4 linked regions of the Xenopus tropicalis genome follow. The protein of the gene in region 1 purifies or fractionates together with the protein of each later gene. This does not show direct contact. Links are inferred from orthologs where the notes say so. Each region holds a gene or a part of one and is shown in the gene's direction. Other genes may lie near its edges.

The links.
Region 2: the proteins of rassf1 (region 1) and map1s purify together in Homo sapiens (affinity purification with mass spectrometry; 4 studies listed by BioGRID and IntAct, counting the BioPlex papers as one, with this or other methods). This does not show direct contact. The link is inferred for Xenopus tropicalis from reciprocal best matches to the Homo sapiens genes RASSF1 and MAP1S.
Region 3: the proteins of rassf1 (region 1) and sav1 purify together in Homo sapiens (affinity purification with western blotting; 3 studies listed by BioGRID, with this or other methods). This does not show direct contact. The link is inferred for Xenopus tropicalis from reciprocal best matches to the Homo sapiens genes RASSF1 and SAV1.
Region 4: the proteins of rassf1 (region 1) and map1b purify together in Homo sapiens (affinity purification with mass spectrometry; 3 studies listed by BioGRID and IntAct, counting the BioPlex papers as one, with this or other methods). This does not show direct contact. The link is inferred for Xenopus tropicalis from reciprocal best matches to the Homo sapiens genes RASSF1 and MAP1B.

What each region holds. Positions count from the first base shown.
Region 1 is NC_030680.2:127,214,064-127,216,746, reverse strand, and holds part of rassf1 (ras association domain-containing protein 1), read left to right. Parts: intron 1-2,217; coding exon 2,218-2,322; intron 2,323-2,683. UniProt on the Homo sapiens protein: Potential tumor suppressor. Required for death receptor-dependent apoptosis. Mediates activation of STK3/MST2 and STK4/MST1 during Fas-induced apoptosis by preventing their dephosphorylation.
Region 2 is NC_030677.2:110,980,875-110,984,988, forward strand, and holds the start of map1s (microtubule-associated protein 1S), read left to right. Parts: upstream 1-1,250; 5' UTR 1,251-1,286; coding exon 1,287-1,401; intron 1,402-4,114. UniProt on the Homo sapiens protein: Microtubule-associated protein that mediates aggregation of mitochondria resulting in cell death and genomic destruction (MAGD). Plays a role in anchoring the microtubule organizing center to the centrosomes. Binds to DNA. Plays a role in apoptosis.
Region 3 is NC_030684.2:93,082,748-93,086,852, reverse strand, and holds the start of sav1 (protein salvador homolog 1), read left to right. Parts: upstream 1-1,301; 5' UTR 1,302-1,693; coding exon of another isoform or gene 1,694-1,790; intron 1,791-4,105. UniProt on the Homo sapiens protein: Regulator of STK3/MST2 and STK4/MST1 in the Hippo signaling pathway which plays a pivotal role in organ size control and tumor suppression by restricting proliferation and promoting apoptosis.
Region 4 is NC_030677.2:182,786,142-182,790,163, forward strand, and holds the start of map1b (microtubule-associated protein 1B), read left to right. Parts: upstream 1-1,187; 5' UTR 1,188-1,492; coding exon 1,493-1,670; intron 1,671-4,022. UniProt on the Homo sapiens protein: Facilitates tyrosination of alpha-tubulin in neuronal microtubules. Phosphorylated MAP1B is required for proper microtubule dynamics and plays a role in the cytoskeletal changes that accompany neuronal differentiation and neurite extension.

The sequences.
Region 1 (2,683 bases):
CACAAAAGCAGTGTGCAAGTTGCACACAGAGATCCTTCATGCACAGGGTGTGTGCCGCATTTCCTTCCTCTCGGCCTTCCGGGACTTGCTGTTCCCAGGACTTGGAACAAGAACACTCCCCACCTTATCCCAAACCCTGCAGGTCTGGGTAGGAGCAGGCTTCTCATAAAGTACCGGATGAGCCCTTCTCCAGCCTCTTTCCTCCCCTTCGCTCCCCACCTTTCCAGTACCAGCCTGATGCAACGCTGACTAAACTGGGAGATTTAGGGAGGGAGGGGAGGGAGACAGGAGGAGGACATCATAGACAAACCGATTACAGGAATAAGTGCAAAGAGGAAGTCACAGCTCCATTTTGTCTTTAGTGCCTTTGTAGGATAGTTATTTGCCTCTGGATGTGGTTTTACAAGGCAGAATTAATGAGCCAGTAATGCACCCACAGCTTCTACAGGGTCTGCTTGGAGCCAGATGTTTTCATTAGGCATGCCTAGGGCTAGTTTATATATTAGAGAGAGCAAGATTGTTGCAATATACATGCAGGCCCTTTGTCTGACTGAGGCAGATGGATCTTACTCCTTTTTGAGTGTATTTTAACATTCATCCTATAGGCCACTGCCACTTCTGGGCTGAGGTACAAAATGGGCCATGGCATTTCATGGGCAGAAAGGTCCAAACAGCCCCACACAAGCCCAATACTAAGCACCAATCTGTGGCAACTCACAGCAGCCCCACAGGGGCTTTTGGGTAAAGAGTAACAAAACCTGCCTGATGTCTAGCGCCCTGATTGCTCTGAGCTTTCAACGTGGCCATAGATTACAAGATCTTGCCAAACAAGGGGATCTTTCCCCAATATGCCCACCTAAGGTGGGTGATATTGGGCTAATTAGATTGTTTGGCTATAGGCCAGAGATAGGAGCAGTCGGAGCGAGGAACACATCAATGAGCCAACGCAGTCCCCAGTCTGTCTAAAAAATCAAACTTTGCCGATCAACACCTGGCCAATTTTTAACCAGATATTGATCGGGAAGGGCTGTCGGGGGTCCCCAGATATGCTGCCAAATCGGTCTAAAGGACTCGAATCTGCAGTTCAAATCTGCCTGTGTATGGCACCTTAAGAAAAGACGTATTACTAACTAGAAAGGAAGCTGAGTCACATGAGAAACAGGAAATGAACATCTGCGTTTTGGTGCCAAAAGTGATTATTTTTCAAGATTTTTCCAATTCTGCTCTGTTTTAAACAGTATTACACAATGTCTTCTATCACTTTTTTTTTCATCAATTTGTAGTTTTTATTTACTGGTATCAGTTCGGAATTGTTCTAGAGCACTGATCCACAGCAACCAGTCAGTCTAGTGCAGTTAGAATAATACATTGTCTGGTTGCTATGGGTTACTGTTCTGGTACAATTGGAACTGTCTTTGTAAATTATCCTTTTCAGTTTGTTCTTTGTGACCTAAAGGCATTTCTTCTGACCCTATTAGATGTTTGTTGCTTCTGTTTTTGTTCTAGTAAAGGGTAGCAGATGAGCCCCCAGGATATCACTGCTGGCTTAAAGAGGTTGTTCACCTTTAAATTAACTTTTAGTATCATGCAGAGAGTGCTATTTTGAGACAATTTGGAATTGGTTTTCATTTTTTATTATTTTCAGTTTTTGATTTATTTAGCTTTTTGTTCAGCAGCTCTCCAGTTTGGAAATTCAGGAGCTATCTGGTTGCTGGGGTCCAATTTAACCTGGTAGCCAGGCAGTGGTTTAGAGGAGAGACAGAAATATGAATAGGGAAGAGCCTAAATAGAAAGACAAGTCATAGAAAGTAACAATAACAATAAAATTGTAGCCTCACAGAGCAATTGCTGTTGGCATCAGTGGCCCCCATTGGAAAGCTGGAAAAAGAGAAAGTCAAATCATTCAAAAACTTTAACAAATAAAAAATGAAGACTAACTGAAAAGTTTCCAAGAAAGGACCATTCTGTAACATACTACAAGTTAACTACCTTTTTAATGGAAATTCCGTTGGGCTCCTTCGCTCACTGCAGCACAGCTATTTGCCTGCCTGTAGTGCAAGGCTGTGCTGCCTCTCCATTTGCAGGTAGATTTGTGTTGTGGGGAAGGTGCTGCTCTATTGAAATCAGTTTTTCTGACTTTTGACCCTCCCTAATCCTTAAGCTTAAGGTTTTCAACATTAAATGGTTTATGTAATATGTGGTTTCTTTTTCTTACAGGACGAAAAGCCAGAAAAGCAGCCGCAGGCCCTGAGCAAGGCAGAGCTAGAACAGAAAATAAAGGCTTATAATTCTCAGATAAAGAGCAATCTCTTCATGAGTCTGGTACGTTATGAGTAATGCACAGACAGAATCCTCTCCTGTCTGTGATGCTGGTATGTGTGAATTCAGTAAGCACTCAGGGCAGGAATATTGTATTACTTGGCCCTCACATTTATTGGCTTTCACCAGTCACGTTTTGTAGTTTGAGTGCTCCGTAAGCCCCTCCAAGATGTTGCCTCCCTTTGTTCACTATGACCCCATTATAATTTATGTACCTTGAGCCCCTCTCTCTGTGTGACCGTATGTGTGACGAAGGGAAACCCTTTCCATTACAGAATCACTTGTGACACATATTGTATGGCTACTAAGAGAAGATTATACCTTGACAGACTGGTGACTGGGAGAAGAATGGATTGGCAAATAA
Region 2 (4,114 bases), on another chromosome or scaffold:
GAGGAGCTTCTGATTGAAAATTGTTGTTAATAGTTGATACGCAAAGAACTATCATCGCTTATGGTGATAAAGTACTACCATTACTTGATAATTACCGTATTTGATACTGTATTAATATTATATTCAGCAAACCAAGCCAAAAAACATAAAGGTAACAGGTATTGACTTCCAAATGTACTAAGAAATGAAGGCATGATTACACACTCATATATATATTTGTCTTAGATAATGAGCACAGAATGAGCCAGGCACTGAAGTCACTCTTAAGGTGGCCGTCCACAAGCAGATTTAAGCTGCCAAATCGGGTCCTTAAAGCTGGCCATACACGCACCGATAATATCGTATGAAACCTTGTTTCGTACGATATTTGGTGCGTGTATGGCAAGTAGGCGAGTCGACCGATATCGCAGGAGGCTGCTGATATTCGTCGACCCGCCGATCGGGCGGTTTAAAAGATTTTGATCGGGCGCCATTGAAGGCGCCTGAGCAAAATCTGCCTTAGTGGCGGATTGGAACGATCTTTCGTGCAAATCACCACGTGTGTGGCCACCTTTAGACTTATCAAGCAGTTTATCTACCCGTGTATAGGACCCTCTGACAGGCCTCCCTGTCTGATATTTGGCCAAAAATCAGCCAGATGTCAATCAGGCAGGCTTGATTTTACTGCCATATCAAGGGCCACATTGGCTCATTGATGCGGTCCTCGCTACAACGTTTTATATCCCCTTTATTTTAATGATATAGTTTGGCCCTAAGTGCTAAAGACAAAATAAAATGATGTACATTGGAAAGTTGCTAAGTGATTCTAATAGAATCCCTAAACTTTCTAAGAAGAATTTGGAATACCAACTCCAAAACACCCAAGCAGAAAATAAAAATATCAAACGTTATGCACAGGACACTGCAATGATCCTACTGTCAGCAGAATCAATGAACCACAGAATAGGCTGACAGTGTCCTCTTACGCAGTTCTAGTAATATAATACGAACATAAGGGCTGACATTACAATGGTACATTTTATATTGGGGTTGTAAAGTTCGTGAAGCTACAACTCGTGAAAGTCAGCAAGAACCCTGTTCTGATTTTCACAGTATTATGCTGCTTGATATAACTGAACACAACTTCAGTGACTAGCACCTCTCCTACTACATGTGATAGAACCGCTCAGCCCTTCGAGTCTCCCCTCACTCGAGGTGGGCGTGTCTCGTCCGCCCCCTACCCGTTGCTGAGTGGCCGGCGCTGACTTCATTCCCGTGCCGCTTTGCGGGGTGATGTCACTTGCAAGATGGCGGCGACTCGGGCGGGTCCCGGGCATCTGCGGTGCTCCGTGCTCATAGTGTACGGGGAGATCCGCCGGGGGCCTGGCCTTGTGCGCAGGGCGGTGAGCGAACTAAAGAGAGGTAGGTGCCATAGGGCGGAATAGGGAGAAGGTGTATAGAGTTTGAGCCCCTCCTTCCCTGTCTGCCGGGTGATGTGCTGGCCATTGGATTTTTCCCATACCAGTAGGGGTTTCAAATGCATGACAGTGTGCCTGGGTATGTACATGGCATTTGGTGTACCAGATGCAGGAAAAGGTGATGTGCGGTGTTAGCCAGTCAAAAAATGTTTACAGGGTAACCCTTTTGAAATAAATAATAACAAAAGTGGTATAAAGGTGATGCCTTTATTGGCTAACTAAGATAATCATAGCAAGCTTTCAGAACATTTTAGTTCCTTTTTCAGGTAATCAGCTTGAAAAGGAACTAAAATGTTCTGAAAGCTTGCAATGATTATCTTAGTTAGCCAATAAAGGTATCACCTTTATACCACTTTTGTTATTTTTTATTTCAAAAGGTGTACCAGATGTGACGGCGTTTTAGTTCCGTATAGGTGACTGTATAGCCAAGTAGCATTCATATTCATGCATGTGGATAGCTGCCTGGGTGTCTCATGGGCATTGGACTCCTGAGTGGAGCCGTACAAGGGGATGTCCATGTTGAAACTGTTCTTTGCGCGTTGAAAGAAATTCTTTCTAGGCAACTTTCCATTCTATAATGATGATTATGTTGTTTGCAAATGTAGTTGCTATTGAACGCTGCATTTGTGTGACTGTTTATATTCATTGCACTTTAGTTTTTGGCTTTTGAAAGGTGGCAGGAGCCAGCTGATAAAAATAGAGGAAAACTTACTTAGAAAAAGGATAGCTTACTGTTTTCACCTGAAATTTACATTTATAAATAATTTAAATTCATTGACATTGCAATGTATATTGGAAAGTTGTTTAGAATAACAGTTTCTTGTATTATGCAAAGTATCTGTAAACGTGCATTTATGAGCATGGTAAGCATAAGCTTTTGTAGGTACGTTTACCCCTTTTGCATGTGCTTTAACATCATTATAATTCCAAAAACCTGGAGAGTACACTTATTTGCAGTGAATCAGTGTAGTTTTATTGAGACATCTTAAGCACATATAATTCCAAAAACCTGGAGAGTACACTTATTTACAGTGAACCAGTGTAGTTTTTAACATCATTACCTGGAAACCGTCGGAGAATAGGTACAGAAAAATGCAGTGTACACATAGTTAATAGTATTCATGCAAAGCAATTCTAAGTGCAAACAATATGGTTAGATTAGAAAATGATTGAATGTGCTTAAAGGTCATGTCAACCCCAAAAATAATTTTTTGCATAATAAAAGAAAACATAATTCTAAGTAATTTTCAAATATGAACTAATTAAAAATTTGTAGCATTTTAAAACTTATTTGTAAATGTAATCCTGGTTGTTACTTTTTAAACAATGTTACAACTGTCAGTCTCCTCCAGCAATACAGGTCTGTCAGTCTGCTGCCTTGTGTTACATTGTTTCAACAGTCAGAGCCACCAGGGCAGAGAATAGAAAAGGACAGGCAAACACTGCTTTTAATATATATACAAATAACTCAAAAATCATTACAAATTTGTAATAAATGTATATTGCAAAGCTGCTTAGAATTTTGTTTTGTTTTATTAGGCAAAAAAAATTATATTTTGCGTTGCCTTGTCCTTTAAATGTGAGTCCTGTTCTTCCCTCTTTTGATTTATTTGTTGCTGTGTATTCCTGTAAATAGAAATATACACACACACTCTGTATTTCTTAGTGACAACAAGCTCTGTGGCACTGATCTGTAAACACAATGTATGGGTTTGTAGTTGGCACTTTGAGAAGTATGACTTGTGCTGGGAGCCTAGAAAGATACAAAGCCAAAAACAGGAAATATGTAAGTGTTTGACTTTGTTTCCGGATTACTTCATTCTTATCTTGTGCATTCACAGCTTCTCATGTTCATTCATTTTTGACATGGCCTCTGCCTACTACCCACATATGTGGTTCCACACCTTAGCATGTTGTTAGATGTACCCCTAATGTATGGCACCATTTTGACCACTTACATATGACATTTAACTAAATGTCTCTTGAAAACAGCTTTGTATGTCTAGTATTCTGTGGTTGTATTTTAAGCTTTTAGATGGTTAAAAAATTTTTTTCTTTACCTCTTATATCTGTTATTGGCTGCTTTGTTTGTAAATATGTATGGTCAATGTATATACCCATTTATTGTACAGTGCTGCAGGATATGTTGGTGCTCTAAATATGCCATAGACACACAGGGCTCACTTTCCCCTAGCAGAAAAGACATACAACATACAAAGAAAGAGCCTTCTACAAAACATTTCTCTTACGTAAAATAAACAGGGCAGATATTAGATTAAACCACATATAATATATATATATATATATATATATATATATATAATATTGTGGGAAGATTAGCTTTTGTACTGCTAGAAAGCAAGATTTGTGAACAAAAAATAGACATGACACAAATTTACCATAATCAGGACTTTTCCTTTTTATTTACAGTTAATCAACACAGTTTGTTCACAGGTTCTTTTGACCAGCCATATTGACCACAGTACCAAAAATAAATCTTGCTCATATGAGCATTACTTTATACTTTTGGTACCTTCCCTAATTAAAAGGGCTGGTACTCAAGAGTGTTCCTTTCTGCATTTCTGTTTGTGACCTTCTTTTCTGACTTCAGTTGGACTAATGTACAGTTTTACACAGCTTTAACCACTCATGGACAA
Region 3 (4,105 bases), on another chromosome or scaffold:
CAACTTTTCAGTTATGAATTCTAGCTGGGCATTGGAGGCAAGTGTTTGTTACACATCTAGGACAATAAGGCCATCACTTTATGAGACTTTTTTTTATCATAGTGTCCCTTTTAACCAGCATTTCTCAACCATTATAGGACAACTAACTCCTTGCACTATATGGAATTATAATGTTAGTATTTATTCACAAAGCTGCAAAACCAATTCCCAGGGACAGCTTCTATAGCAAACCAATCCCCACAGTGTACATACATTCTGGTTAGGGCTTATAGGTACTTTCTCTGCACCTGGGGTAAACTGCTTGCTCATTGTTTTGACATTACCGTACTAGAGGAAAGGGCATTAATCATTAAGGTGCATGCAACAGGGTGTCAGGCACAATAATTTAATCTGCAAAAGTCTGGTGTTGGAAATTTGGAAGGCTACTCATTCCATTATTACAGGAAATATTTCCACATATTCCACAAAGAATTGCATTGTTACATAGATATTTACTGCTCCACACATATACACATAGAAAAGGCTTTATACAGATAAACTGCACATTGTACTTTGTGCCACATAGTGCATGAGCATTGTAGCAAGGGAGCCCTGCTTACATCATGAATTATGTGCAAGGAACAGCATGCATGGGTACTGGACGCAGTGTGAGATTGAGGAGTACAGGGCACAGCTAGGCAGCCTCAGTGCAACCCCCCCCCCCCAGTCATGAAACGCGTGGGAACTGGGTGCGAATAGGAGGGGTGTAGCCTGTTATTTGTGCCATGTGTGACTATTCAAGTAACTGTACAATCCTTTTATAAATCAAATGTTGTATTGGGTTGAAGTTTGCCACTGGCTTGAATGGCCAGCTACACTGTGGAAAAAAAACTCACAGAGCTTGTTCCCTTGTTGTGCTAGTGCAGCATAACAAACCAAGCAGAATTAAATCCACTTCATTGCAAAGAAATGAAATTCACCAGTACTCAATATTGTTTTTAAATATCCCTGAACTGCTTTTTTACCACCTCAGGCCTACCCTACAGGGCAATAACCATTGGTCAAGCATGCTAACTCATACAATAAAACGCACGCTGTGTGGGTGGGTGGGCATATTTGTATTACAATAAGTTGATAGCATGTATTGAGCATTGTTTACAGGGCAGTCATTCCAGCAGTGCGTACTGCAGCATGCGGATATTCTTTGTCACAACAAACATGTCAGCTGTGCGCTGTAAATGATGGCAGGGATGTACACAGAACATAGCACCATCGCAACTACTCTGACACAGTTCCAACCAGCAAACCAAACAGCCAATGCTAAACGGGGTGCGGCGCCTGCGTCATAGCCTGTTGCAATTGCTGCGCATGCGTCTTTCAACAGACAAGGAGAGAAGAAAAGTTTTTCGGGAGATACTGGGAAGGGTCGCGCTAGGCGGCTTGGGTATAGTTGGGGCGGCGGTGGGTTTGGGTGCGGGCACTGGATGCATGCGTTGGGCACTCCGAAAGGGCAGCGGGATGTACCAGCTATCACTAGCAGCTCACAGGTGGGCGTTGGAGGAGATGTTCGTGACCCGCAGCTGAATAAAAGCAGCGCCGCTCGCCCCTGAACACAAGGCGCTGGGTGTGCGTGTGGGACCCTGCCCCGGGGAAGTAATGCTGCGCGGAGCGGCTGAGTGAGCCAGTGTGGGGGCGCCACAGCCGAGGGGCGGGAATGTTGTTATCCAGAAAGAAAACCAAGAAAGAAGTTTCCAAGCCTGCGGAGGTGCAGGGGAAGTACGTGAAGAAAGAGACCTCCCCGCTGCTGCGGAGTGAGTGATGGGGTAGTTTTATATGGGCATTGGGAGGGGCGCGACAGTAGCCCAGCTCTCACCTTTTGTTTGGGAAAGTAACTTTGCGGCATCTTTATCAAGGGCCGAATACAACTTCCCATACAATCCACCAGAAAGCTACACCAGCCTGTAATACAGTGCCTGTATGCGCTACTTATAATTACATTTATATGTTGACAATTTTAATTTAGATATTTTGAAGGAATGAATAATAAAATGTATGCACTGCTCTGCAGATAATTTCATGTAATTCCAGCACCCCAATAACAGTACCACCCCCCACATGCCCTGCTTACTGTGCTCATACTATGTTTGAGGGACCTATTTAAAGTATTTATGCCACCTTGCTTTATGCACGCTGGCAATTTTGGTTTCAGACAGAGGCAGTTTGATGAGACCAAGTGAAGTCTATAGAGTATATATTAGGATATTCTTATTTTATTTACATGTCTGTAGGAGCCTGTCCGTATTCATTCACTTCAGTTCTTTGGCCTTTATGCTTCACACCCCCCCTTTATCTTCTGCTGTCTGGGAAGACACACAATAGCTACTTAGTAGCAGCTATTTGTCAGGCTACTAAACGCCAAAAAATACCCTGCCAAAAACAATTGCCTCTGCTGCTAAAAACACGTAAAGACAATTATCCGTAAATGATCAGCATTGTCTATTTTGGTAGCTGTGGCAAGTAGCTGCTACTAGTAGCTCCATGTGGCTTCACCCTTAGGGCTGTGACACACGGGATGCCGCATATGCCATCCCACTGGCAATTTAAATTTTAGCTGGCGGGATGGCATTTTGGGGAGATTAGTCGCTCGGCGACTAATCTCCCCAAGTGTCACAGCCCTTAGGGAGGACTGAGCATTGATATTCTAGAAGTATGAATGGAAGAGGGCTGAGAAAGATAAAGAAAAGAGAAGAGGACAATGGAGGAGGGATGAGGGGAGGATCGTGGAGGTCTGTGAACTGATTGAGGAGTTTATACAGGTCATACAGTGGCTGAGCACTGAATACACACTGTGGATGTAAATAAAAATATCTACCTAAATAGGTTTGGTGAGGCAGATGGAAAATTCAGACCATATTACCTGGGCCACTTAGCATGTATGGCAATGGGTAGGGGACTGTTTTAACTGAGCTTTCGGCAACGACAGCATATTGTACCCTCTCTCAACTTAAAATTAAATCAGCCAGTGCATCTTTTCATCATGTGATGAAGAACAGACTATTTGGCAATCCATATGACTAAATAATGCAATGTCAAACTGCCCAATCCTCAGGCAAATAGGTTGGCCACAAGTGTGAGATTAGAGATCACTACAGAAAAACTCATCCACTTTCTATTTATTTCTATTGGGTTTTTAGAGGCACATTTATCAAATGGTGAACTCTAACTTTCACCCATTGATAAATACACTTCCATAGAAATGAATAGAAAGTGGATGAGTTTTTTCGGTGTGGATCTCTAATTTTAAACTTCAATAAATATTTCCTTATGTGTGGCCACCTTTAACCATTGTGTATCTGTAAAGATTGTCCAATTTTTCATAGTCTGTTTTTTAACACTATAAATACACTTACATTGTCTCATTAACACAAAATGAATATGACAGTAGTGTATTTAAAGGAAATGTGCAAATCAAGTAGCAGAGGCAGTCTGTCAGTGAAATAATATTTTTATAGCTGTTAAATCAGTCCTCCTATATCTGGTCAATTTTCTGAAGGGCCTATTTTAAAACCTGACACACTTAGAATTTCCTATAGGCTTTGTCCTTATTTTTTCTATTGGATCAATTCATTGGTTACTTGTGCACCCTAACCAGTTGCATAACTTGAAAGGTCATTGGTTCATTTCTCCCTTGCAAAGGCAAAGGCAAACAGACTCAGCATATCACAAATCTAACATACTGTTATGTTAGATTTACAGCATTCTGTCGCAGGATGCTGTGTCAGACTGACAGGAGGCACAGCCGGTAAGTGTTAAGTCTGCTGCCAATACTATGCGTGACATAAGGAAGTAAAAAAGCAACTGTAGTGTTTACAGACCCCCACCCCCCCAGCACAGGGTCTGTGCAAAAATAAAGGATGAGCTGAGGGATGATTCTGAGGTCAATATCTCTTCAGCTGCACATAATATGTTTACTGTGTATTTTGCAAAGATTGTACAACATACACAAATCTAAACGTTCACATTAATAGAAAAAAGGCAAACAACCCCTTTTAAAGGAGCAGTTCAGTGTAAAAATAAAAATAATTGTCAAAATAGACTGCGCAAAATATAAAATGTTTTCAATATA
Region 4 (4,022 bases), on another chromosome or scaffold:
TTCTGGGGTCAGTGTTTTAGCCTTGCAGTGTATAGTAAGATCATTACTGGTGCGGAGCTTTACAATGTGCCTTTGCACTGCTGTGGGTTTTTGATCTATATGTCAGGAATGTCTATAAAACCATAAGGATTTGGCGTTTGCACTCAGCGAAAATTGGGCTTTCCACATAAGTATTTTCATGGATAAAAAGAATCCATGCTCTATATGCAGTTATATTAAGATATATTTTAAAATAAATATTTAGAGCCATATATCTTATTAAAACAGACTTCTTTCTGACTCTCCCCTGGTGGGGAAGAGTAAGTGCAGGGGGGTGCAAAAACATAGTCTGCATTAAAGGGGGCTAATGTTTTATTTTTAAAAATGAACATTTGGATTTTAAAGGAAAAGTAACATAAAATAAAAATTGAGAGTGTTTTACAGTAACTAAAATATAATGTATGGTTGCCCTACACTGGTACTATAGTTTGTATAAACAAAGCTTCTGTGTAGCCATGGGGGCAGCCATTCATGCTGGAAAAAAGGAGGAAAAGGACAGGGTGCATAGCAGATAATGGATGAGCTCTGTAAAATACAATGGGATTCTACTATGCAACCTGTTCCTTTTCTCCTCTTTCTGACTGAATGGCTGCCCCATGACTAAACAGCGGCTTATTTATATAAACTATAGTAATGTTTCTGACGCAAACGCACCAGTTTTACTAGTGTAGAGCAACAGTACATCATATTTCACTTACTTTAAAATATTTTTATTTTTTGGTGTTACTGTTTCTTTAAAGTTACCAGAAGCTCCACCTGTGGCCTGGCATTTAGTCATATTTATTATTATCAGCATGTAGTTATATATTCTGCAGCACTGTACAGAGTATATGAGTATAAATTGCACATACATATATGTACAATAACCTATAAAAGATACAAGAGCCCTGCCCAAAATCCAGAAAGCTGTTATTGCCCAAAAAAATTATATGTACATAGTTTTTTTCAAGTACATCACTAAGGAAAAGCTCCTAAAGCAAAAAAACACAAAAGGATGGAAAATTCCCTGACATTAAGGGCAATGAAAGTGCAGAAGTGGGCTGGCAGTGAAAGGGTTACAGGATTGTGTTGTACGCAGTGAAAGCTTTGAATAGAGACAGTAATTCCTTAGGTTCCAGTGCAGGAATGGGCCGGGGGGAATCGCAGCTGATGCACCGCATTGCCTCCCTGCTGCTGCTGCTACTGGCCGCACTGAGTTGCAGCGCTTCCTTTCTGCTTCCGGAGGCGATGATTTGCTGCAGATGACATCAGACGCGGTGGATGCTGGAAAAGAGACAGGCAGCTAATGTGATTCTCCTCCCAGGGTCCCAGCCCAGGCTCGCCGTATAAAAGGCTGCCCACCTCCCCTCCCCGGCTCACTCCCTGCTGCCTGCTCTTACCCGCCGGGTGTAGCCGAGTGAGGGAGACCAGGAGGAATATCAGTGAGAGGAAGCCTGCAGGGTGGGGGGATAGGATGGCAACCCTTGTGGAACCAGGACCGGCCATGGACCCAGCACACACCGTCCCGATCCCAGCAGCCTCCCCCAGCCTCTCGCACAGGTTCCTGGACAGTAAGTTCTACCTGCTGGTGGTTATTGGGGAGACAGTGACCGAGGAGCATGTGAGATGCGCCCTGAGCAACATCGAGAGAGGTAAGGACTGGCCAGAGACCCCCTATTAGGAAACCCCCCCCCCCTTCAGCATCCCTCTGTCAGACCCACAGGTTGCACTTGCTTTTGTTCCGGCTCGGCTCCTGCCTGTGGGCACAAATGCCACATCATTTTGTCGCATACCTTGGACAGAATTGATTTTGTAGCTGAACCGATGCACAAAATACCTGTGAGAAAGGACAATTGTGCCATTCAGTTTGGGGGAACAAAGGCAAATCTGGAGCAGCCACTCCCTTTTTTTCTGGACAGAAAATGTGGTGGGCTGCAGATCTAACAGTTGGCAAGGAAGGAGCCCCTCCCTCTGCTGCCACACTGAGAGCAGAACAACCTTCCTGCTGCCAAGCATGCCATTTTCTACTAAACCCGGGCTTCTGCTCATGCAATGTGCCAGTTATATGCCATGATAAGAGCAGATGGGCAGGGAGCTGCGGGTAAAGAGCTGGGGATGCTCAGCACTGCCTTTTCTATGTAACTCATCCAATCTCCATGGGGGAGAGGGGAAGTTTCAGTAGCACCGCTGGGTGTGCCGGGCCGGGTATGGAAGTGCCGGGCCGGGTATGGAAGTGCCGGGCTGGGTGTGGAAGTGCCGGGCTGGGTGTGGAAGTGCCAGGGATGGTACCCTTGGCTCTATTCTGGGCTGGCTGTAGGATAGCGGAGAGAGAACAGCTGCTTGGGGCCCCAGCATCACAGGGGTACGTGGGAGCAGGCAGATCAAGTTACAAAGGACATCATATAATAAATGATAATGGATATTTTTAATAAATAGATAGTGAATGTGCAACCCGCAACCCCCCAGCCGATGTGGTACTGCAGCTCTGCACATCTCTCCGACAGCTGCCTGTTCCCCAACAGCTGGAGGAACAGCAGGTTGGCTATCTCTGCCATCCTGAATAGCCGGGGGCCCCGCCCCAGATAACCTGGCTGTTCTACCCTTGCCATGCTCCCATCTCAAGGACGTGCAGCGCAGACTGGGGCAGCGCCATGTACAGAGCAGCGCATCCTGCCATGCCCCACGCCCAGCCATGCTTATTGGATTGATAGCAAGAGGAATATCCAGTATGTGGCCCTCCAGTCAGGCGCCTCCTGCTAACATGGGGTGCCACTAATTATAGCTAACAACGAACTGGAGGGCCACAGGCTGGACATTGCTGGTGCCATACAGGTGTCAGGGTTAGAATTGGTCCTGATAGCAATGGGATGCTTCCCCCCTTGGTTTATTATAGACTAATGCTGGTGAGATTGCCTGTATATTGCCATATACATGGCTCTAAATGATATTTGCACTGAATAGGGAACCCCTTTCCCCGGTATGGCAAGCAGCTGAGTATATAAGCGGTGCCAGGACAGGCAGTGCCATGCTTGCTGCGGGAAGCTCGGAGGCGCCCATGGAGCGGATCTCCCAGCGCTACCGGATCCAACTTGCAGGAGCGCCGCGGTGCCGGCTGGGGTGGGCGTGGCGCAGTCCGCACTGCGGTCCCTACGGCAACGCACAGTGGGCAGAGAGCGTTCCTGCGGGCAGCCAATAGGGAAAGGGCATGTGCTGGGCTCAGTCAGGCGGCGCTTGTTGCTGTGTCACTTTCCCAGCACAAATCTGCTGCTTCATTCATGCTCCTGTCGCACCCACTTGCACACATTCACTCGAAGGCGACTAAACGCTTCTTTTTATTCTAGATTCTGTTTAGGTAATCAATTCCATACCATAGTGGCTTCTTTCATTTTGCCGGAGATCTAGTAGATAAGCACTGTAACATAATTGTATTTAATCTCTAATACTAAAGAGGGCAGGGTGAGGGGCATGGTTTTACCTGCATTTCTAGTTAAGGAATAGAGAGAATTCTATGTGGGCCCTGTACAAGGTGCAAGATGAGCGACTCTAATTGAATATAAAGAGGGAGTGCACTAGTTTCTCTAGATGGTATTATGTGTCAGGGTGAAGACACACAGAGCTACTAGTAGCAGCTACTTGTCACTGCTACAAAATTAGACAATGCTTATCATTTAGTGATAATTGGCTCTATGTGTGTTTTAGCAGAGGCAATTCTCAGTATTGTCTGGCAGGGTATTTTCTGGCATTTAGTAGCGTGACAAGTAGCTGCTACTAAGTAGCTTGTGTGTCTTCGCCCTTAACCTTTACCTCAGCTGCTCAGTTGCACATAATTACCTGCCCCCTTTTGCCCTGCTATTGTCACCCCCTGGCACAGTCTGATAATGCACAAGATTCACAAGGCTATTACCCACATCAGTTCTGAGGGGACCGATCACAGCAAGAAAGCCCAGTTACAGTTGGGTAGCAGTAGGGCATATTTATTGTTAGTGGGGCCTGAGGTGAAAGAG